3 linked regions of the Oryzias latipes genome follow. The protein of the gene in region 3 binds, or shares a complex with, the protein of the main gene of each other region. Links are inferred from orthologs where the notes say so. Each region holds a gene or a part of one and is shown on either strand. Other genes may lie near its edges.

Region 1 (7,475 bases), on a different chromosome or scaffold from region 3:
GCCGCTGATGAGCATGCCTCCCCAGGCCGGGGCACAGCCCGCCGGAACCACTAACCCTTTCCTCTTGTGAAAGGAGGCGCAGTGAAGCCGGCGCTCTTTGATCTTCAAGAAACTTGGACACACACAAAGAGATTTCTTATTCCATTTATCCACTTATAACACACTCCTAACCAGGTTCCAGACACTGTCCTCCCGCAGTACCTTCCTATGCTACAAGCTGCCGGTCCTGTGTGAGACCTGAAGATGGCGCTGACCCCACACATGGAGGCAGGATGGGACATGGATCACAGGTGTACTGTCATCCATTCAAGTTTATTCCTCTTCTCCTCCGTGGAGGTGGGAGGAACATCTAACTATACTAACATCTGTCTCCTCTCTCCACACTCAAACTAATCTTTTATAAGCCCGTTAGCTGGTGTGTGTGTGGGTTGTGCGTGCACACCTCCATGCTTTTTACATTGTTTATTCCAGCGAATCCACCTACGGGATCCAGGACTCCAGAATTCTGTGTGAACGCGCGTCTGACAAACAGGAATTTTTGCACAATTTTTGCTTTTACTTTTCTACCCCCACCCCACCCCCCCGTGACTGTTGAGCTCACCGTTACACCTTAGCTTAAGAGGACGGCGGCGGCGGCCCTGCCCAGTGTTACAGTCATCACCTTCCTACTGACGGCTCACATCAACTCTGGGATCAAGACTCATCATTCCTTTGTGTGTTTGGTCTGTCAGACCTGCTCCAATCCTAACAACCGTACGCTCGCTAGCACGTTTTCCACCGTCTGCCACATGTTCTAAAGGAAACCACAGTATTCCTGTTTCCTGGAAAAAAGAGGAACTGTCGTAGCAAGGCATTGTGGAATCATTTGTTTTACATGTGTCTGTAGGGTTAAAGGGATTACGGAGGGTTTAAATGTGTGTGTGTGTGTGTGTGTGTATTTAGCTTCCAAGTGTACTTTCAAACCAGACTTCTTTTTTTTTAATTAAGTTAAAAAAAAAGTTAAAGTGCAGCTGGAAAGGAGCAAATTTAGTGATAAGCAGCCTTAAAATATTTGTGTTTGTGTGTACTTGTGTGTGTGTGTGTGTGTGTGTGTGTGTGTGTAGGCACCACTAAAGTGACTTGGTTGGAGTCCAGGGGTTTTTAAGGGCATGTCAGGAAGGAGTTTACCTGGTAAAGGATTTGCTTTAGCAACATACACATATACACACTCTTACAAACCAACACAGAAAAGTACCCAAACACACACACATATACAAAGAAACACAAATGCTCATACTCACTAACAGGGCTCTTCCATGATCTTTTTATTGCTAGTACAGAGGATCCCACAGTAAATACAAACTGTTTTTATTTTGTTGGATGTACATTTATAGTTTTTTTTTTTTTTAGCTGTGCAAAGCCGTTTGTCGTCGTGTCTACTTTGTGTACTTTTGTTTCACTGTATGGGTAGGCCGTGTAACACTCCTCTCTTAGAAGCACAACTATTTACCAAAGTGGAAGCAACTGTGATTTCTGGGGGTGCAGTGTGTAGAAAACACTACGACTAGGACCACATATCACTGACACTCGTTTGTTTTGTATTTAATACGTCAAAGCGCCAGAATTCCTTACACTTTCAACCGGTAGGTGCAGCGTCTCCACCTCTGATGGTATTGGAGGAAAAAGAGGGATCTGCACCTGCTGTGTTCTGAGTCAGCTCTGTCTTCAGTTGGACTTGCCAGCATTTACAGTGGGAGCTTTCTCTCGGAGTGGTTTGGCGCCCCCTCGTGGTTACCTATGCTATTACATATATATTAGGCTTAAAATGAGGGATCGCTAAAGCTGCGTTTGATATTTACTCTGCAGCGAATGTTTTTTTCACTCTGACAAAAAAGATGCAAATATTTGAGTAAGAAAAAAAAACAAAGAAGCTCAATGCTACGTTTGTCTTTTCAAAATAAGATTTACTAAAAAAATGTTTCTGGAACAAACACCAAGGAAGCCACTTTCCTACAGAGTAACACTTTAAAACAATATTTTTTCCAGTCTGAACAGATAAAACATCATTGCATTTGTTTAGGCAATGACAAATGATAGAAAATAAAGGCGAAATGTAGTGAGCTCTTGTGTTTCTGCTTCTATAAAGAGGACCGACTGACCTTACAGGCTGTATTTCTATACATATTCAGACTCTTGGTTTTTCTCTTTCATGTGCGTCCAGTTACTTTCTCATAGCACTGGGTGCAGGCTGCTTCTTTTTTTAAAAATGTTTATTGGATTTATACTCCCCCCCCTGTTGGCATTATAACTGTATGATATAATTTATCATTTGTACTATTGTAACATACTGTTTTTCTCTATTCCCTATCATTCTGTGTAATGGGTTTATTTTGTAGGAAAAGTCGTTGTGGTATTTTAACGGCATCTAAACAAACGAGCGCAGCAGGCGGATGGAGGAGGGCGGGTGTAGCTGCGTCGTTTCAAAATAAAAGGTTTCACTGCAGCTCCACTGTCTTTGCTTTTGTGTAGTCTTTCAACCAAATGCAGCACTTGGTGTTTATTAAAAAAACTGTTCTGCAAAACAATATATATAGAAATATGCATTTAAGTACAAATGTATAAAAAGATTTGAGGCTTGTGTTAGAAAGCGTCCACGCCACCAGCAGTCTGGGGGTTGGACGGTCCCGTGTCGTAGCCCATCTTCTTCATGTCTTTGGTGGTGATGTGGAAGGAGACGGTGACAAAACCTTGAGAACGAACTCTTGTTACTGCAGAACAAACACGACAGAGCGGGACTTTAGTCTTTTTGTCATTTCAAATACAAAATAAGTAAAAAAAAGGATGGGGGGGTTTAAAATAAACACTTTTATAATAATTGATTTGGTTTAGAAGCACCTCTGGGACACATTTCAAAGTGAACGACTCTTGATGCAGTAGGAAAATAAAAGATTCCTCACGTACCTTCTCTGCCTTCACCCTGCGCCACTACTTTAGGGTCTGTGTACTCCGGTCTTCGCCCTAGCAACCAGCTAAATGGGGGGAGGGGGGGGGATTTTTTAGTACTTTTAAAAAGTTATGATGAAAAAATGTTTTGTCTTACATTTATGTTGCTTTTCCCCAAAATTTTGAGGAAAGTTGCTTTTAAATTTATAACATTTTGACAAAACAAGAACCAGAGACTGCACAAGAGGAGCAATACACCTACTTTACATAAAAAAGGAAAAGAATGTTTGTCCAATAGTGGGGTTCAGCTAAATTAAGGTCCTAAAAATATCTTTTTTTCTAATGAATTACAATCTGTGGTTTTCTAACATGATGCTAACAGGAAGTAATAGATATTAATGGGAAGCATGTTCACCGCAGAAACCCATTATTGGGTTTTTGATGGAATCAAACCCCCACACTCAGGGGAGGGGACAACATTCGATTAGAGCTCAGCTGCTGTCTTTAGTCTTCACAGCAAAACGCCTCACCCTGTGAACTTCTGGAGTCTCCATGTGGGCTCGGGAACAAACATGGGAATGGTTTTAGTGTGTCTATGGAGAAACAACAACCTGTGGTTAAAGGGGAAAGACAAAGAAGAGGTTTCATGGAGGTGAGACTTACTGTCCGGGTGTGATAGGGATGTGGGTCGCTCCATAGCCCCTCACCACATCATTGCCAAACACATCAGGTCCATACACACTGATCACAATCTGAGGCCCTAAAAGACAAAAACAATTTAAAAAAATCATTTTTAAAACGCAATCCTTGAATAATCAAGTGATTCATCATAAACTCAGTCTGTGGGGGTTTTTGTGAGGCTCACATCCAGATGGATTGGTGCTCTTAAACGTTGTTTCCAGAGGAAAGTTCCAGACTAAAGTCCGTGACAAACTGCTTTTACAGGTGATCTGGGTGATGCCCTCTTCTAGACCCTGCAATAAATAAAGCCTAAAATTAAAAACAACCAAACCACGCATACTTTAAAAAAGGCTGTTTTATGAGGAATTATGGGTAATATGCCCCTATCAGACGGCTATAGACGCGGACTCACCGTCGTAATGGCCCAGTCGTGTCCGTAAACGTAGGAGTATTTGCAGTAAAGGCTGTCATACTCTGGAAACTAAATAGCAGAAAACATTTTAGAGTAATAAAAGAAATCAAACGAGGGGAAAATATCTGTAGCTCGCTAGATGTGGCTAAAGCTAGCTAAAATATTAGCTAACATGCTAAGACAAAGCCGCAAAACTCACGTTCGCTCCCTCTATTTGTCCGTTTACAGTAAGAAGGAACAACGACGGGTTACTCGAAGCCATCTATTAACGTCTTCTTTAATTCCTTCACAAACTATCATTTAACGCTAGTTTTAAACCCGTTTGTAAGAGGAAATTGATTAAACTCGCAGCCGTTGCTAAGGCAACGCGTGTTTTTCCCTACGGAAACCCGCCAGAGTCAAACAAAACGAGAGCGCGTTAAAATAAGAACCTTTACCGCCACAAGATGACAGCATTGTTAAAAAGAAAAGCGCTTCATTAAATGCCGCAGACTAAAGTCACATAAGGAGATGTCATCAAGCATTAACAAGAAAACAATAATTAATCGAACTGTATCAAACTAATTGTGATTTTAAGCGGCATTTTGCCTTGTTTTTGTCCATTTATTGTTATTTTTTTATTTTATTTTTTTTACACCGTCATTTTTGTTGATATTCGGACTACCGTTTTGCTTGGTTTATGAATAAAAAAATTATGGAAAAAATTGAGGAAATTTGTATCAATGAAAAGATTTATGTTTTCTCAAATTAATCAACATCTTTTACACATTTGGAGCCCTTATATTAAGCGAAAACTTTCTTGATAAATTATACATACATTGCAAATGTGTTTTTTCAATTTCTACCACTTTCAATTGAATCCTTTGCTCCAATTTCCCCTAACTTCTTTCTCTCCCATCCTTGCTTTTCTCCATTGTTTTCAGTTCTCGTCCACCTCCTTCCTTCTCTCTTTTTTCCGACCTTTCTAATATTTGTTCGGCCCCTCACAACTTTTTCGCCCTGTTCCTGTGACTTCCTCCTCGTCCCTCTGACCTGCTTTCGTTCTCCTCTTCCCTCCTCCTTGCTGCCAAATCCCTCATTTAGAGTCTAATGAGCAGCAGCCCATGTTTTCAGCTGGTCAATTCAAAGAGGTCATCTGGTCCACAAGGGCTCATGATTCTCTGCAACTGCTTTGCACAACCCTTCTGTGACAATATGAAGCCATAAATGATGAAAATGATGAGATGAACAGGAAACACCCCCTCCATCCGGCATCTGCGACCTCCTTTAAGTCCCTTTTCGTGATTGATAGTGACACTTCACACTTCTTTCGAGAACAGAGATTTTTTTCCCCTTTTTGTTCAAGTCAGTTCTGCCAGAGATATAATGGAAATCAGTCCCTAAAGAGGCCTTCACCGATTTCACCAGAGAGCCAGATTCATTCCAAATATGAGTGGCTGAAAAATGGATCAAGAAAAACAGAGGAGCAGCAGAGAAAACACTTTAATGGTCACAAAATGTCATTTCTAATAATGATGAACCAGGGAGTCACATTTTCCAGATATGTGGGGAAGAACATGGAAAAGCATATATGGCAGAAAGGAGATGGGGGTAATTAGTAAAGAACCGGAGAAGAGGAGCAATCAAAATTGGAGAGGAAGTGGACACAAGGTATGAAGATAAGCTGATGACTAAATATTGAGTGAAGTGCAAATTACATAGCGAGAAAAGAAGAGACTGAATCTTTCAAATAAGTCGGCAGCCATTGTGATAATTGTGAAAGGGGATCTGCGGCCCACCCACACAGGGCATAAATCTGCGCTGTCTTAGTCCCATGAAGGTTTTTCTGTTGGCTTTGCTGCAGCTGTCAGAGCTGTCACCTTCATCATCCTCAGGGCTCTTTTACATCACACAGTTCCCCTTACCATGGGGGAAGGCTGGGTGTGTCACAGGCAAGGGGGCAGTCACGGTTGAACTCCATTTGAAACCATTTTCAGCTAAGTGCACTTCATCAAGTAACCTCTGGGCAGCTTGGTGCTCAGGTAAGTTGTCCTTATTTCAAGACCCACTCCAGTTATCTTTGAGCTCTGTTAAAAGTGTTCTCAGTGGTCTGTTAATTTGCCAAAATCAACCCCATCTCCACTTCCAATCACCCATAACTCAGAGCTCTCTGCTCATGTGCTCTCCCCTAGCTTACAGCCCCTCACACCTCCAGCCTAACATTACAGGTGCAACACAAATGGCGACCAACATTGGAGCTATCCAGCTGTACAGTTTTAGCCAGATGCCAGCTCAAGTGAGGAAAACAAAGACGTACATGGATGTAGTCGTCTACAAGTGGATGCATCAGAATGGGGCGGAGCAGTGAGCTTACAGCTCGCCCATTGTAGTTTCTACATCACAAATACGGTCTTTCACAAAAGACAGTTTTTTAATTCACAATGATTTGAATAAAAAAATACTCAGAACTGGAATTTTGAGTTGAATTTTCTTTTGTTATGTCTTCCATCGTCAGAAAACATGCCACAAGAACATGTTAAAACACAATTTCCACTGGAGTTGGACTTTAACGTGCGATGTCCAATCAAACAAAATATACAAATTTACATTTGGGGTGGATTTTTCATTCTAGAAAACTTTTTTGATTACCTTTAAGAAACCTAACTGTGTTTTTTTTTTAACCGATTTTGCTAACAAATAAATTTGATTGACAGGTGACATCCAAATTGAAGCTAATATGTTCTGTTCCTTTGTTTGTTTTTGGAAACTTTGCGATGTCACATCCTGCCAAGATGGCAATAACCAGAAAATTGATGGTAAAAAAACTATTCGTAGATTATCCCAAAAAGAAGCCATCATTTACCTTAAAATGACTCCATAATCGATCCCTTTTAAAATAATCACCAAAAAAGAAGAGAATATAAAATATTTCTCTAAAAAGTGGGATAGTTGTTTACATAATTGGCCTCAATCTTTTTTAACTGTTAGAAGGGGCGTTTTTCTGCTCAGTTCTGATCACAAACAGATCAGTTTTGGACAAAGATCTGCGTTCAAATAAAAAAAAATGTTTTTGGTTTTCTACAAAAACACCAGCCAAATTAATTTTTTTATACCCAATTTGATAAAACCTAGTAAGTATTTGGAAAAATAACTCGTTAATATTTATATAGTATCATCAAAGAAATTAAGTTTAAATTTAGTTTTCAATTTTTTTCTGATGTCAGAGTCAACATTCAGAAATGTTTTTATTAGTGCAGAATATACCCTTACTTTGATTTGGGTTCAACCCCTCTGGACAGCACTATGTAGTATGAGAAATAGAGATATGTAATAATATTACGTAAATCAATTTTGGATTATTGCATTTATTTAATTATTTTAGTTTTAGAGTTAAAAGACTTTGAATTTCAGAAGTCACACCTGGGACTATTTTTCATTTTCCCTCCCGTTAATACATTTAACCCTTGTGCTATCCTAGGCA
Region 2 (7,475 bases), on a different chromosome or scaffold from region 3:
TAGCCAAACAGCTAAAGGTTGTCTTCATCCATCTATCCCACTCATCCGGGACCAGGTCGCAGGGGCAGAAGCCTTAGCAAAGGTACCCAGACTTCCCTCTCACAGGTCACTTCCTCCAGTTCCTCTGGGGGGATTCCAAGGTGTTCCCAGACCAGTCTCTTCAGCCTGTCCTGGGTCTTCCCTGGGGTCTCTGCCCAGTGGGACCTTCCCAGGGAAGTGTCCAGGAGGCATCCAGACCAGATGCCTGAGCCACCTCAACTGGCTCCTCTGGATGTGGGGGAGCCGCAGTTCTACTCCCAGCTCTCTCTGGGTGACATGCAGCCACCATGCAGAGGAAGATCCTTTCAGGCGGTTGCATTAAGGGCCTTGTTTTTTCGTTCATGACCCAGAGTTCATGGCCATAGGTGAGTATTGGAACAAAGATTGATCGATAACAAGAGAGATTCGCTTTTCAACTCAATAAAAAACCGACCATTGACTGAATAAGAGAACTGGGCAGAGTCAGTGTGACGTCACCCTTAGAAAATGGTTTAATTCCGGCTCCAACCTAATGCATTTAATTAAGTTACCATTTTTCACAATACGGTTCCACCAAGTCGGAGTCAGACGACGTCTGCAAGCAGTAGATTGAATGGTCCGAGTCAATCTGAGTCAATGTCTCTATGGCAACCACTCTCACCAATTAGGAGTACCGGTAAGCTTGTTAGAAGTCCATTCCCCTTTCACTAAAAGTGGGCTCGGGAAAGTCTGTCGATCATACATTTCCAACATTCGAGGTAGGGGCCAGTGGGCACCACATGCTTTTATTGAGGCATCTGATTGGTCTGTTTATTATGAAAATATCATTTTAAAAAATAAGGATTATTAAGAACATGTTAAAAACAAGGAGAAGAGAAAGAATAGTTATTTTGTCAAATAAACCTACAGAGTTTTAGCTGTTTATTTCTCATAGAAGTCTATGGGATTTTGGCTTCTTGGAGACCACAGTAACTTGCTGTTTGGAACGCAAGAGGGGAGGGTTTACTCAGTCCAGTTCTCAGTCAATGGGACAGAGAGAGCAACTGCTTAACAGCAGACACTTCTCCAATCTGCCTTTCCATCTCATACTCCGATCTTCTCTCACTCATGAACAAGACCCCACTATACGTCAACTCCTCCATCTGGGACAAAAGCACTCCACCCACCCAAAGAGGACAAACTACCTTTCTCAGATAAAGAACCATGGCCAGACTTAGCAGTGCTGACCTTCCTCCCAGCTGCTTCACACTCACCCCCAAATCACCCAAACACATGCTGGAGGTCTGGGCTCCATGAAGCCAACAGGCCTGCATCATCTGCAAAGAGCTGAGAGGAAATCATGTGGTCCCCAATCCAGACCTTCTCTGGCCCCTGCCTGAGCCGAGAAATTCTATTGATTATAAACAGAACCAGTGAAAGAGGGCAGTCGGAGTCCAACATGAACTAGGAACAGGTCCGACTTACTGCCGGCTATGCAAACCAAGGTCCTACTACGGTCATAGAAGACCAGATATCCCTCAGGAAGAATCCTCTAACTCCATACTCACAGAGCATCCGTTACGTTACCACAGGAGACACTGTCAAATGCATTTTCCGGATCCACAAAACACATATAGACTGAATGAGTAAACTCCCATGAACCCTTCAGCGTCCTATGGAGGGTGTAGAGCTGGTCCATTGTTCCACAACCAGGCTAGAAACCACACTGTTGTGCCTGGAACTAAGGTTTGACTATTGGAAGGATTCTCCTTTCATGTAGGCTGTCATAGACTTTTCCAGGGAGGTTGAGGAGAGTGATTCCCCAGTAGTTGAAACACACCCACTTCTTGAAAAAAGGGAACCCCCACCCAAGTCTGCCAGTCCACTGGTACAGTCCACGACTGCCACGTGATGCTTCAGAGACATCTCAGCCAAGACAGTCCCACAGCATCCAGAGACAAAAAGCAGGCAACAAGCTCCCTGCTCCACCACATTCTGATGTATCAACTTGAAGACAAATAGAGCCATTGATTTAATTCTCCAGTTAATTAATAGCTCCAATATTAGTGATCATTTTTGTTGCACTGCTAATGTTAGCCTTTGGTTGTGAGGGGCTGTAAGCTAGCAGGAGAGAGTGTCAACAAAGGATTAATGGAATATCAGTGCAGGCAAACTCTGCCCCAATAGTCCTGCCCACAACTCAGGGATAAACCTCTGATGAACTCCTGCCACTCTGTAGAAACTATGTCCTTGAAAACAACACAGTTTTTATTTTGCCTAAAAACAGCATAATTATAATTAAGACTACTGGCAATGCTTTTATAATAGATCAAAAGTAGATTGGAGTGGGACCTCAACTTTCTTTTAAAACTATTTGTTTTCAGACAAAAGAAAAAAAAAAACATTTTACCTGATTCTTAATGTAAGAACTCACAATTTCTTCTAATTTTGTAAAATTAAATCCCAAATAGAAAAAACACAGACACACAAGAACATAAAACTCCAAAAGACAGGACAGACTCTAGCAGGCTTTTGAAAACACCCAGTGGTGACTGGCTTCAAGGGAGCAAGTTAAAACGCACATTTTAGGTTTGGCTAAAATATGATCCAAAAACTTCAAAAGACAGAAGGTAAATATTCATTTATCTTCTAATCTGTTTATATACGTGGCTGCCGGAGGCTAACCACTGCACCACCGTGCCGTCACAAGGTAAATAAATGATTAAAAATTTAAAAATGAGCTACATGGAAACTGCAAGTCCAAATCTTCACAGCTCCTCATTACTCTTGACAGGACATTTGAGGAAATTTTACAAACAGAAATGATTACTTTCCCAAATATCAGGTAAAACATGTATATTAAGTAATAATATTTGTCATGTTGTTGTTCAGGAGGTTGAGGTAAAAGATGAAAGGAATAGTGAACAACAAAAAAACAGAACATGTAGAGAATGTAGTAATGAGTGTAGCTGACCCTCTGAAGATATAAAGGCTTTTAAAGCATGTTTAAGTTTAAATAACCATGTATGAAATCAACTTTATGCAGAATTAACTGTTAAGAGATACTCTTCACATTAACCAGTCACTACAATGCTGCTCTTGGTAAAGGGGCAAAACATCAAATTGGGTGGGTGGGGTAATTTGTTTTTCTTAAGCTGCATTTTTAAAGTCATTTTGAATGCACTTTGACCTCAACAGGCGGTTTATTTAAATCACTTCTAAATTAGATTAACCCTTTTTGAATTATGGTAAAAAATAGCCCACTTAAGGTGCAATTTTCTTCCGAAGTAAGCTGTGGCAGGACTATCAGAGACAGTGCATGAAAGTTTACCGAAATAAGCATGCCGACGACCTCGTCCACTTTGTTATTTTTACATTCAAGGAGGATTCCTGGGTCAATCCCTGAAACCTTATTCCAGTCGAGAACGGTTGGCATTTTTTGACCGTTCGTAGCTAGTAGTGGTACTCAGGGAGAAAACTGCCAAGAAGAAGAAAATATTTAACGTCAAAAATCAGTCTTCAAATAAACGCATTGGAAACGTCATGTATATTATGGGTCACAGACTGATTATTGAAGCTGCACAACAATCTTCCTGAGGTCTGGCTGCTAGGTTACCGCTAACAACAGCTAGTCTAAAAAAATAAAAGCTAGTTACCATTAAAGTATAATAATAGAAGAGAATAAAATTACCGCATTGCGTGTAAACGGAATATTCGACATTATCCCTAAACTTGCCCTAGTCAAACAAATAATTTGTGGTCTAAACAAGACTACGATAAAACCTTGTCAAATTCCCTCTAGCCGCCTTCGGCTAGTTTTGAACGTGCGCGTTCACCTTTGAACCGGAAGAAGAGGTAGTTGGGATTCAGCTACGCTAGCAGGTACTCACAGCTACATTTGGATTAATCCTGCTCTTCTGTTCTGGGATATCTCAGTGTTTTGTGTGGGGTTTGCTGATGCTGTCGTCTGCTCTGGTGTAAGCTAGGTGACACAAATCGGAGTGTTTTGCAGTAACATTGAAATGCACGCAGATGCTTTCGAACGCAGCCTGGAATCAAGCTAGTTAGCCTTAGCTACCTGTCTGTGGAAGTATCTACTCTTATGACAAGTTACAGCAGATTGTTTTATCTTCTTTGTTTGTCAGTGTTTATGATAAACATTGCTATTAAATATTGATAGCAAAATGGGTTTCATTTGTTTCGCTTGCTTCACATGCAACGTTTCCCTTATGTCACCTGGACTACTGTGTGTCTAGCAGAACCAGAAAGTACTAGTAGTTGTTTATTATTTTGGGGGGTTCTTGAATTATTAACGGCGTTGTTGTTATTCAGTTGCATATATTAAAAGGGGTAGAAACCGGGGTGTTTTGCTTGGTAAGTAAATTGTTTAGTTTAGAGTTAAATTTGAACAGGTTGCACTGCAGCAGCTGCACTTTGACATCTAGTAACCTTTGGTCGCTTAGTTTGACCCGCATTTAAATTAAGCGGTTTCCATAATGGTTTATTAATTCCCCATAAATGATCAGTCCCGTTTGCTCTCCTTTGCAGTGATCAATGACGGCTTTTGTCAGAAATGGCTTTCGTGTCGTGGAAGGAGATTGTTCTTTTGACTGGACTGGTGGCGGGATGCTACTGGAACAGTCTGTCATGTGGGTTTGTGTTTGATGATGTCTCTGCCATCCTGGACAACAAGGACCTCCGGCCCGCAACCCCTCTTCACAACCTTTTTCTTAATGACTTTTGGGGAACACCTATGACTGAGGTAATGACTACATTTTAATGCCCTTTTAATCATGTTGCGCAAATACACGCTATCCTTGATGTTTGTATTGTTCTGCTCTGTTATATGAAACCAAGAATAGGAACTCCTTTCCACCATGTTTGAGTTTAAATGAAAAAAGGTAAACTTTCATCTGACAGTCATTGCCACCTGTGTCCCGTTGCAGGAGCGAAGCCACAAGTCTTACAGACCCCTGACAGTACTCACATTCCGACTGAACTACCTCTTCAGTGAGCTCAGTGCAGCTTCCTACCACCTGCTCAATATCATTTTACACGCTGCTGTGTGCGTTCTCTTCCTGCGTGTTTGCCGACTGTTCCTGGACAAGACCTCCGGTTTGGTGGCGGCTTTGCTGTTTGCTGTTCACCCCATCCACACGGAGGCTGTAAGTCTTTCTTAAGGTTTCAAAAATATTTGTTTCTGCAATAGCTTTTAAAGTTGTCTGAAATGGGGTTTAAGTCTCCTACTGTGTAATAATTTTGCGTTTTGGTTTGTCGACGTATTGTCTGAAGATGAATCTGTGAAAAACTGTTGTTTCTGGCAGCATCTGAATGACCCGTGTTGAGCTTCATTGTTGGTTAAATTTAGGCAGACCTGGCAAATTCCAAGTCTTCATCAAACAATGAAATCACTGGAGAGTTTTGGTGCAAGAGCCACTATTGCAAAGTCATACTTAGAAATAGAGCATACACTATAAATATTTATAACACGTGGGGCTCCGTTAACATCTACTCACTTGTTTTGTTGTTGAGTTAACTATCTCGTGCTGACGACTTATTTTATTAACGCTCTGACAGTAAACCTGTGTGTTAAACCCTGTCTGTCATGGCATTCTATCTTCAACCAATGCGCCCTCCTTTCCTTTGTGAGCGGTGATCACGCTTTATATAAGCATTCCACAATGAGATTAGTCATTACAAATGGTTTTTTTAGATTACAATGTTCTCTTATTTATTGCAGAAGTTATGTTCCAAAGTTGGCTGTTAACCAGTTGGAAGCCAACTTAACACAATCCGCTGTAAAATAAAAAATGCAGCGTACAAAATTACTGAAAAAACTCTGTGAAACAGCGAGACCGTAAATGGGATACAGTGAGGAAACACGACTTCCTCGTATGCAAGGCACGGATTGTTCATTTCTAATCACTGTTGATTTTTGACACATTCAAATCCTTTGAAATCTGTTTCTCTTTTGTGCTTGTTTCACAATGTAGAATTAGCAGTACATTTGTAATCATCTTATCAAAGACTACGAGTTCCTAGTTAAGCTTCTTTAACCCAATTGGAAACGACAAACGTCTTCTATATTGTGTCTTATTTTAATACTAACTCATTTACCTTCATTGGTAAACGTTTTTTCTGACCAATTAAGACGTGTAATGCAACCTTTTAAACGGAGCTAAAGCGATGCGCTGTCGGCAGAAAAACAAAGAGAACATTCTGCTTCCTTCATTGGAGTACTACAATTACACAGCAACAGCCCTTTTCCTGGTCTTCGCTAATCTTACAGGCTCTTAGACTTCTTGAATGAGAACAATTTGCCTCACAAATGAGCCCTTAGAGTTAGTCCATCAAATGCTCTTGGTGTTATCACGGTCTGGAATCTGGCTCTGAACGGGTCATTTGTTTTTCAGTTATGTCCCAAGTACTGAAAGTCTCTTCATGATCAGTCTGTACAAAGAATCCCTGTGTTTGTCCCCTCGTTCCTCAGTGTTGTCTGTGGAAGTCTGTTAAAATGGAGTTTCTTTTTCCCATCTGAATCTCTGATGATCTAACACCAACTGTTGAATGTTCATTTATGTCTGAAGGGTCTAAAGTAGCATCAGAGGGAATGTTGGAAAGCGTCGTCTCTGCTCCATGCAGATGGACACATAGACGTCTGGCTCGTTCAGTAAAACTGATCTAAGTGTAGGCAGCCTGTCCTCTATTTAGTTGAGTTACATTTGATGGGCTGTTAAGACAAAGTAAGAAGGTTAAAGTAAGGTTGTGTATCTTTCCCTCTTACCATTTAAATATGTGCTTCAGGAATTGATGCATAAAAGACTCAACAAACTTTGAGATGATTCGATGGTCAGATTCTTTTACCTGAATGGATTGAATCTAGACATTTATGTTTTTTTTGGCCTTTAAAACTATAAATGGAAATGCATGGCTTTTAAGGACCCAGTTCATCTTCTGATCTACTATTAGAGAGTTCCCGGTGGTCTCTTCAGTGGGATTATGCCATTTTCAGGGTAAATCAAAAATCTTGTAGTTTTCTATTACATAACTTCTGCAGAGCGGCAGTACATGAGTTCACTAGAAATTTGCCTCCGAGTTGTGACTGTTGGCGTAGAGCAACCGTGCCCCCACTTCCCATCACCTATCTGTTTTACATACCGGTACTTTCCCCCTAGCATGTTCCAACAGCATTTTTTGTCTGCTCCCGATTCACAACACATTGAAAAGAAAATAGTGGGAGATGCCATTTTAAGCTACACTGTCTTTATACAAGTCCTTCATTGTTAGAAAAATGCTACCAGAACACGTTCAAAACACATAAAACCAGATTTTCATTGGAATGGAACCTTGACAGGGAGAATTATTTTCTTTTTTCTTTGTAGCACTTTATATTTCAAGCAACAAAACAAATCGTCTAAAGGTCATTTGGGGTTTTTAGACTGTCTTGTTCTTTGGTTTGATAAAAATGTGTCTCATTA
Region 3 (7,475 bases):
CCGTCAAACTCCTGCAGCAGCTGCCCGTTCACGTCGCTGACATCCAGCCTCCACACGCGGACCAGGAAGTCAAAACTACCGGTCACCACCAGGTTCTGAGCGCTGGGATGGTACCGAGCGCAGTACACAAAGGAAGGATGAGGCAGAACCTTTTGGGCTGTCCCCAGGAGCTTCTCCACGTTCCACTCCCTAAAGAGGAAAGCCAGGAACCAGTGCAGTGCTTGAACATCAAAGACCTTCGTCACACGACCAGAAACACACCTGACGGTTCCATCGGAAGAGGCCGACAGTAGGCGGCCATCGTCTCTGGACCAGCACAGGTCGTACACGATCCTCAGATGACCGCTGAAGGCGGCCAACACCTTCCCAGAGGGAATCTCATACACTGCAACACAACGAAACACAGCACAGGCACGACAATGTCAGGAAAGTTGAGCTAAGGCAGACGCACAAAGACATGCAGACTCACAAACAGAAAAAACACAAAAAACTGGGTAAAACAAAGATGGGAACTTAAGGACAAAGTAACACAAGAAAACAAGAAAAACTGAACATCCACACAAACAAGCAATAACACATACCTGAGCACATGCATGGAAACATGTCCACACAACACAACTCTATTCATTTTTATTTATACAGTCCAATATCACAACACAATTGTTTCAAAGGGCTTCACATCAGTAACTGTACAAAAACATGAACTCAGTTATAGAATTCTACTAAACTAAACTGGACATCTCTGCCCTTAGACCCCCCTTCTCTGTAAGGAAAAACTCCTAAATAAAACGGATTCCAGAAAAAATGAAGATCCCTCAGGGGTGCCCACATGAAGGAGGGATCCTCCCCCAGGACGGACAGGCGATTTACCAGAACTCTTAGAGAAGAATTAACTTATGAAACAACTACATATATAAAGTCCAGCAGACGAGCTTCATCCAGCCGTGGTTGGGGGGGGACAGTCCATGAATCACTGCAGCAAACAGAGACATGGAGAACTAAATGATGAATAATAGAATAGAGGAGAGGAAGAGTAGAAGTAGATGAGAAAAGAGGACAGAACCCCAGAGCACCATAGTTACCCCAGCTTCAACTTCTAGCAGCCTTTTAAAACTAATAGTTATTGTTGTTAAGTTTAATTTAAACACATTAACATTAAGTTAAATAATCTCTAAATACTAGCCAGTCTGACAATAAGCCTGTCCACAGAGGAATGTTTTCAGTCTAACTTTGAATGTAGAAACTGAGTCGGCCTCTCTTCCATGAGCTGGGAGTTTATTCCATAAGACAGGGGCTTGGTGGCTAAACGCTCTACCTCCAACCGTACTTTGACTAATTCTAGGAACCACAAGCAGTCCTGCATTTAGTGAGTGAAGTGTTCTGATTGGATGGTAAGGGACTATGAGGTCCTTAATATAGGACGGGGCCATTCCATGTAAGGCCTTATAGGTTAACAGGAGGATCTTGAACTTGATTCTAGAATCAACTGGGATCCAGTGAAGTGAAACTAACACAGGAGTGATGTGATCTCTTCTGCTAGTTCCTGCTAACAATCTAGCTGCTGCGTTCTGAACAAGCTGGAGACTTCTTAAGGAACTCTTAGGACACGCTGCTAACAAGGAGTTACAGTAATCCAGCCTCCACGGAACAAATGCATGGATGAGTTTTTCAGCATCATAGCAGTATTCTACAGGTGAAAAAAGGCAGTTCTACACGCCTGAGATATGTGAGCCTTAAATGATAAATCCTGGTCAAATAAAACCCCAAGGTTTCTAACTGTGGAATTGGGGGCTATACTTATGCCATCCAGGGAGACTATCTGAGCAGACAGAGCATCTCTGAGGTTTTTATAGTATAATGACCTCAGTTTTTTCTGGGTTCAGGTCATTAATTGTCATCCAGGTCTTGATGTCTCTGATGCAGACATTGTCCACACAAGAACACAAACGCTGAGCGTCTGAACAGACAGAAGTGCAGGTGTGTCTTTGCCTCTCACCTACAACAGGAAAAGCGTCTCTGTCTGCGCAGGCAGCTGCCAGGATGCTTCCAGCGTTGGAGAAGAGCACGCTGAAGCAGCCCATGTGACCCCCCCGGAAGCCCAGGACGTGCTTGTTGGGAATGCTACAGACCTGGAGACACGGTGAGGATTTCAGCAGCTTTAGAGCATCTCCTCGTGCACACCTGTGATCAGGCGACCCCGGCGGTCCTCGTACCTGTCCGGGCAGACGGCGCCACCTCAGCTCCGGCTGCCGGCTGTCAGCCGTCTGGGGGGGGGTCCTGCTGGAGACCTGCTTCTGCAGCTCGCTGTAGGAGGAACTGCCCCTCTCCTCTTGTAACGCCATCATGGAGCGCGTGCTGGGGTCCACCTGCAGCAGAGTCCAAACCCTGTGACCCGGTCCGTCCTGGGTCAGTGCAGAGCAGGTGAAGCGGCACTCACGTGTGCGGGCAGCTGGATCCCCCTCACCGTGACGTACAGGGTGGAGGCGTACTTGCTCCTGGGGAACTTCCTCCACCACTCGAACACCTCGATGGTTTTAGGCTGTCTTTTAGCCCGCGGGGGGGGACAGAAGAGCTGGAGGCGGAGCTTACTGTCCACGTTCCGAACGCCGTTTGCACCGACCAGCTAAAGTGCAGAATAGAAGGTGCAGCGAGCGCAGACCCCCCCATGGGGAACATGCAGACATGTGTGTTACCTTCAGGAACGCCCAGGCGATTTTCCGAAAGCCGCTCTCGTGTCCGTCAGCGTCGGCGTTGGCCCGCGCCTCCTCCATGGTCACGAAGTCCAGGATCTGCACGCAGCAGGGGGGGCGGTTGGTGCAGCTGCGAGCGACTGAAGGTGTTGGGTGGGGCGGCTCCTACCTCAAAGAGGAGCAGGACTTTGGGGCTGCACTCGTCCTGCTGAAGGAAGTGGCTGAAGCGCTCGTTGAAGAGGATCTGCTCCTCCCACTCAGGAACCACGGACTTCCTCCTCCTGAAGTCGAAGGGCTGCGTCATGACGGGCAGGATGTGGTCCACGTTCTCCCCCTCGTAGAAGGAGACGGCGGGCCGGCGGCTGCAGGACCACAAGAACCTTCCTTTAGAACCTGCGGGCGGATGGGGGCGGGTGGGTCCGGAGGACGGCGCCGCCTCACCGGTCGTCCTTCTTCACGTACTGGCCCGTCCTCTCATCCACCACGTGGATCTTCACCATGGGGTGTGAGATCAGCAGATCCGTCCTGAGGGGGTCGCTTTTGTGGACAAACACCCCCAACACCAGGTCGTCCTCCTCACCTCCACCCCCCCCTGAGAAGATGATAGTTTTGCATCATAATGCGTTCTTTCAGACCCCCCCCCCCCCCCCTGCACACTCAGTCTGTTTCTGAGCTGCTCCCATCTCCTCACAATTTACAATTTTAACCTTGTTTTTCCTCGCCCCCTCCCCTGGGCTGCTCCTGGGTTTGGCCCCCTCCCGGCGGACTCCTGCAGAGAAAGGAGGTTTATAGAAATGACCCTGAGCGTGTCAGACACAAGAATAACCTGCAGGTGCGTTCAGGAACCCCCACCCCCCATCCGTGGTCACAGCTTTCTTTTTCTTCTTGCTGTTCTTTGGGGGGGGGCCGTCTCTCCCCCTCCCGCTGGCTTCCTGTGCGATTCTGCGCTGATATTCCTGCAGAAGTTTGTCTTCATCGTCTGCGGTTCTGCTGCTTTTCTGACTTCTCCTTTTGCCCCCCCCCTCTGAATCTAAAGCCTTCCTGGACTCAGAACCCCCCTCCTCCTGTTTGACAGATGCCCCCAGGTCCCCTGTGGCAGGGAGGGGGGGCAGCTCCCTCTTACTCCTGGTGCTGACCACCTCCGCCCCCCGGTTGTGGTTCTGGAGGGCGGTCCGGTCGTCCTCGGAGTCCCTCCCAAGGTGCAGATCTTTGATCAGGTTCTGGAGCTAGAGGGGTGGGGGGCAAGGAAAACCTGTGTTCGTGATTAGAGCAGAGACAGTCTCACCTGTGAACAGGTGACCCACCCCCCTCCATAAACCCACCACCACCGTCTCCTTCTCTGCGCTCTTCTTCCTGGACTTCTTCCTCCTGGACTCCGTATACACCTCAAACGCATCATTGAATCTTTCCCGGGTCTCTGCTGGCTCCTCCCCCTCACCTGTACAGGTCAGAAAAATCAGATCAAGGGATTTCTGGGACAACCCCCCCACCCCACCTCACCTCACCTGCTGGCATTGTCAGGCACCGGTGTCATTCCCGCCAGGAAATTGAGTTTATACCGGAAGTGAGGGGCTACACTCTGGAAACCAAAACACAGGGTGGGTTATCTGACCCCCCACCCCACGCTGAGTGGATCCTGTAGCAGGAGCAGGTGAACAGGACTGACGTGTAGGTGTCTGTTCACCTGAGGCTCGGCATAGAACTCCAGAGAATGTTCCGTCTGTAGCAGCTAGCTTAGCGCTAGCATGAACCGAGCGGCTTTACGAACTTCAAGGCTCACGAAACAAAAACGCCTATGGTCCCAGAAAAATACCGCGACCCTCAAAGAGACCGGACCCACGCGACCAGGCGGGAAAAAAAACGTTTTAGGCCTCTGGGTGCCGCGTGCCTTTCAGTTCCACCGACGCCGCGCTTCGGTTTCCAGGCCAACGCGGGGGCGGGGCTTGAGAGCCTCTTGGTGATGCATTTACACAAATACAGAATCCACCAATGAACTTAAGGCATCCGGAGCTGCAGTGCATGACCTCATCATGCGCTGCGTTTAGGGACCAGGAAAAGCTCGGAATATGAAAAGTTATCAATGAAAAAAAAAACAACAACCTCGAAATGACTAAATGTTTCTGCTATGTTTCAGAATGCAATTGACACAGCTCATGATTCCCATTAACATTTAAATATTTATTTAAGTTTCAGATTTTTATTACAGAAGATAAATGACATTCTGAAATAAGCAAACATTACACTACACTTGCAAACATGAGTAAAAAATACACTCAAATATAGTTGCACATATTTTTCCACTCCACATATAGTAGTAGGTTTAGGGGCTGTCATCTGGACTTGGTTTTTAAAGTTAGAAGACGTTTCACCTCTTATCCAAAAGGCTTTGTCAATGACTTGAAAGATATGAAAACTCTAATAAATCTGGAAAATTTCTAGCTAATCAGCTTAAAATTAATAGAGAAAAATCATCAATCACTTCTATTATGGACCAAACAGGAAATGTCACCCATGACCCGGTCAAAATTAATAACACATTTGAAAACTTTTATAAAAACTTGTTCACACCACAGATCAATCCGTCAGAGCAAAGTATTGACTCATTTCTTAATAATGTAAACCTACCCAGGTTAAATGAGGATCAAATCACAAACTTAGATTCTCCACTCTCGCCGTCTGAACTTCATGAAGCTCTGTTACTTATGCCTAATGGTAAAGCACCAGGGCCTGACGGCTTTCCTGCTGAGTTTTATAAAGAATTCTGGGAACAACTGGCACCAACATTTTATAAAACTGTCACATCTATCAATGAGAGCCAATCAATGCCACCTAACATGAACTCAGCCAACATAATCCTCCTTCTAAAACCAGACAAAGACCCCACTAGTCCTTCAAGCTATCGCCCCATTTCTTTAATCAATGCAGATGTAAAAATTATCTGCAAAGCACTAGCACAGAGAATACATGCAGAGAATACTACATGCATGCACTGTGGTTCTGCACGCCTGTCCAGGCTCTCTGGCAGCAGGTATGTGCCGATTTATCAGTCTGGCTTAAGGTTTCAATCACAGCTTCACCGTCACTTTGTGTGCTTGGTGACATGAGTGCCATCGATGTAGAAGGAGGATTAGGCTCTATCATTTTCATAACTCTTTGCATTGCTAAAAAACTATTTTAATAAATTGGAAAAACAAGAAAAATATAAACATAAATCAACACAGAAATCTGCTGCTTGATCATATCAGCTTGGAAAAAAGCTGATATGAGGGGTGTGGGGGTGTGTGGTGGGGGGGATGGAGTGGTGGTCTGGCTCGGCTTGGGGGGGTGGTCCTTTTGCCTGTGCTGGGGGGGGTTGGCGACCAAGAAAGGACAGATGAGTGACGTTTACTTCTGTGTAACATTTGTAATATTAAGCATATAATGGAAGTTGTTTATCGTATAATTGAAGTTACAGAATCAAATGTGAGAGGTTTTTTTTGGAATCAAGTTATTTTTTGAGTGCCTGTGTCGAACACATGTGAAGAATCGACAATGAAGTTGACTTTGACATTTGCGATTAAAATATTCTTTGATCCAATTTTAAGACAAACTTTAAAATTAAAGAATTTTTTTCATCAAAATAAAATATGTATTGTATATGTGTATGAATTCTAACCGTATGTCACAAAACAGACTGACGTCTGGATCCGAATGCAGCAGGTTTATTAGCTCAGCTAAATGTCCACAAAGCTAAATCAGGGTCAGGCTGGCTGGCAGGAGTCGATAACAAGCACACGTTCATCAGTGGAGAGACGGGAGAAGTCAGGATCCAGACAAGAGTCGGGGCAGGCGCCAGGCAGAGTCACAAACAGGGTCAGGACATCAGGAAATCAGGAAATTTAGAAGATCAGATGCAGCTATAACGCTCGGTAATGCGGGCAGATTGGCGCAAACAAAACTTCACACTGAGTGAGGCTCAGTGCAGTGATTAAGTACTGTGAGTGATTGCACATGACAGTCAGGTGTGTGGCATCCAGAAACTATGCGCTGGGGTTGCTGGGAGATGTAGCGTAAAGAGAACTCTTGAGACGGTTTCCACCGTTGGCCAAAGTTCTAAACTCCTGAAACTTTTTCCCCAGTGTACACAGAAAAGCATAATAACATAAAAATCTGGGCAGACTTCATTTCTGCAGAAGAGGTAAAACACAGAAATGTTTTAAACAACTAATTCAAATGGAGCATCAGCAACTCTTCAAATTCACTGATGTCAAACATTCTGGATTTGTAAACGGCGTGTGACAGATTCAGGTCGATGCCAGCCGTTCAGAAGTGGCTGTGGTGCAGCAGTATGGACGGTCGACCCCTGATTGTAAGATTGCAGGTTTAATTCCTGCATGGCACATCCATGTGTGGAAGTGTCCTTGGGCAGGACACTAAACCCCACACTGCCTCTGGTTGAAGGTTGGCGCCAGTGTGTGGAAGCGGAGCCACCATCAGTGGGTGTATGGTGACGGATCTTTGACTCAAAGCGCTTTGAAGGAAGGTAGAAAGGCGCTAGATAAGTAAACGCCAAGCGAAAAGCGTTTTTGGGACATTTCACATGCCTCTGTTTGGTGCAGTGGGATTCGATTGTTGTCCCTCCAGATTCCAGATTCAAGTTGGCCACTGTCCTAGGCTGTGGATCCTTTCTCTGGCTCGTCTGGCACCCCCAGCCCCCCCCCCAACTCCATCTGGATGAAGCTCGTCTGCTGGACTTTATATAAGTAGTTGTAGATTTAGATAAGTTAATTCTTCTCTAAGAGTTCT

The links.
Region 1: ahi1 (region 3) and b9d1 share a complex: the UniProt entries of both Homo sapiens proteins name them as parts of the tectonic-like complex. The link is inferred for Oryzias latipes from reciprocal best matches to the Homo sapiens genes AHI1 and B9D1.
Region 2: ahi1 (region 3) and cep290 share a complex: the UniProt entries of both Homo sapiens proteins name them as parts of the tectonic-like complex. The link is inferred for Oryzias latipes from reciprocal best matches to the Homo sapiens genes AHI1 and CEP290.

Annotation. Positions count from the first base shown.
Region 1 is NC_019866.2:15,983,140-15,990,614, forward strand, and holds b9d1 (B9 domain-containing protein 1), read right to left. Parts: upstream 4,418-7,475; 5' UTR 4,278-4,417; coding exon 4,215-4,277; intron 4,085-4,214; coding exon 4,016-4,084; intron 3,897-4,015; coding exon 3,788-3,896; intron 3,683-3,787; coding exon 3,586-3,682; intron 3,516-3,585; coding exon 3,453-3,515; intron 3,009-3,452; coding exon 2,941-3,008; intron 2,748-2,940; coding exon 2,620-2,747; 3' UTR 1,374-2,619; downstream 1-1,373. Other genes in the region: epn2 (epsin-2), read left to right, coding at 1-70. UniProt on the Homo sapiens protein: Component of the tectonic-like complex, a complex localized at the transition zone of primary cilia and acting as a barrier that prevents diffusion of transmembrane proteins between the cilia and plasma membranes.
Region 2 is NC_019864.2:2,332,018-2,339,492, forward strand, and holds the start of cep290 (centrosomal protein of 290 kDa), read right to left. Parts: upstream 3,799-7,475; 5' UTR 3,689-3,798; intron 3,476-3,688; 5' UTR 3,434-3,475; coding exon 3,329-3,433; intron 1-3,328. Other genes in the region: tmtc3 (transmembrane and TPR repeat-containing protein 3), read left to right, coding at 4,571-4,759, 4,944-5,162. UniProt on the Homo sapiens protein: Involved in early and late steps in cilia formation. Its association with CCP110 is required for inhibition of primary cilia formation by CCP110.
Region 3 is NC_019880.2:251,834-259,308, reverse strand, and holds the start of ahi1 (jouberin), read right to left. Parts: upstream 4,656-7,475; 5' UTR 4,375-4,655; exon of another isoform or gene 4,270-4,374; 5' UTR 4,206-4,269; coding exon 4,196-4,205; intron 4,129-4,195; coding exon 4,013-4,128; intron 3,917-4,012; coding exon 3,543-3,916; intron 3,460-3,542; coding exon 3,398-3,459; intron 3,283-3,397; coding exon 3,132-3,282; intron 3,053-3,131; coding exon 2,860-3,052; intron 2,790-2,859; coding exon 2,694-2,789; intron 2,624-2,693; coding exon 2,438-2,623; intron 2,367-2,437; coding exon 2,214-2,366; intron 2,130-2,213; coding exon 1,997-2,129; intron 386-1,996; coding exon 262-385; intron 190-261; coding exon 1-189. UniProt on the Homo sapiens protein: Involved in vesicle trafficking and required for ciliogenesis, formation of primary non-motile cilium, and recruitment of RAB8A to the basal body of primary cilium.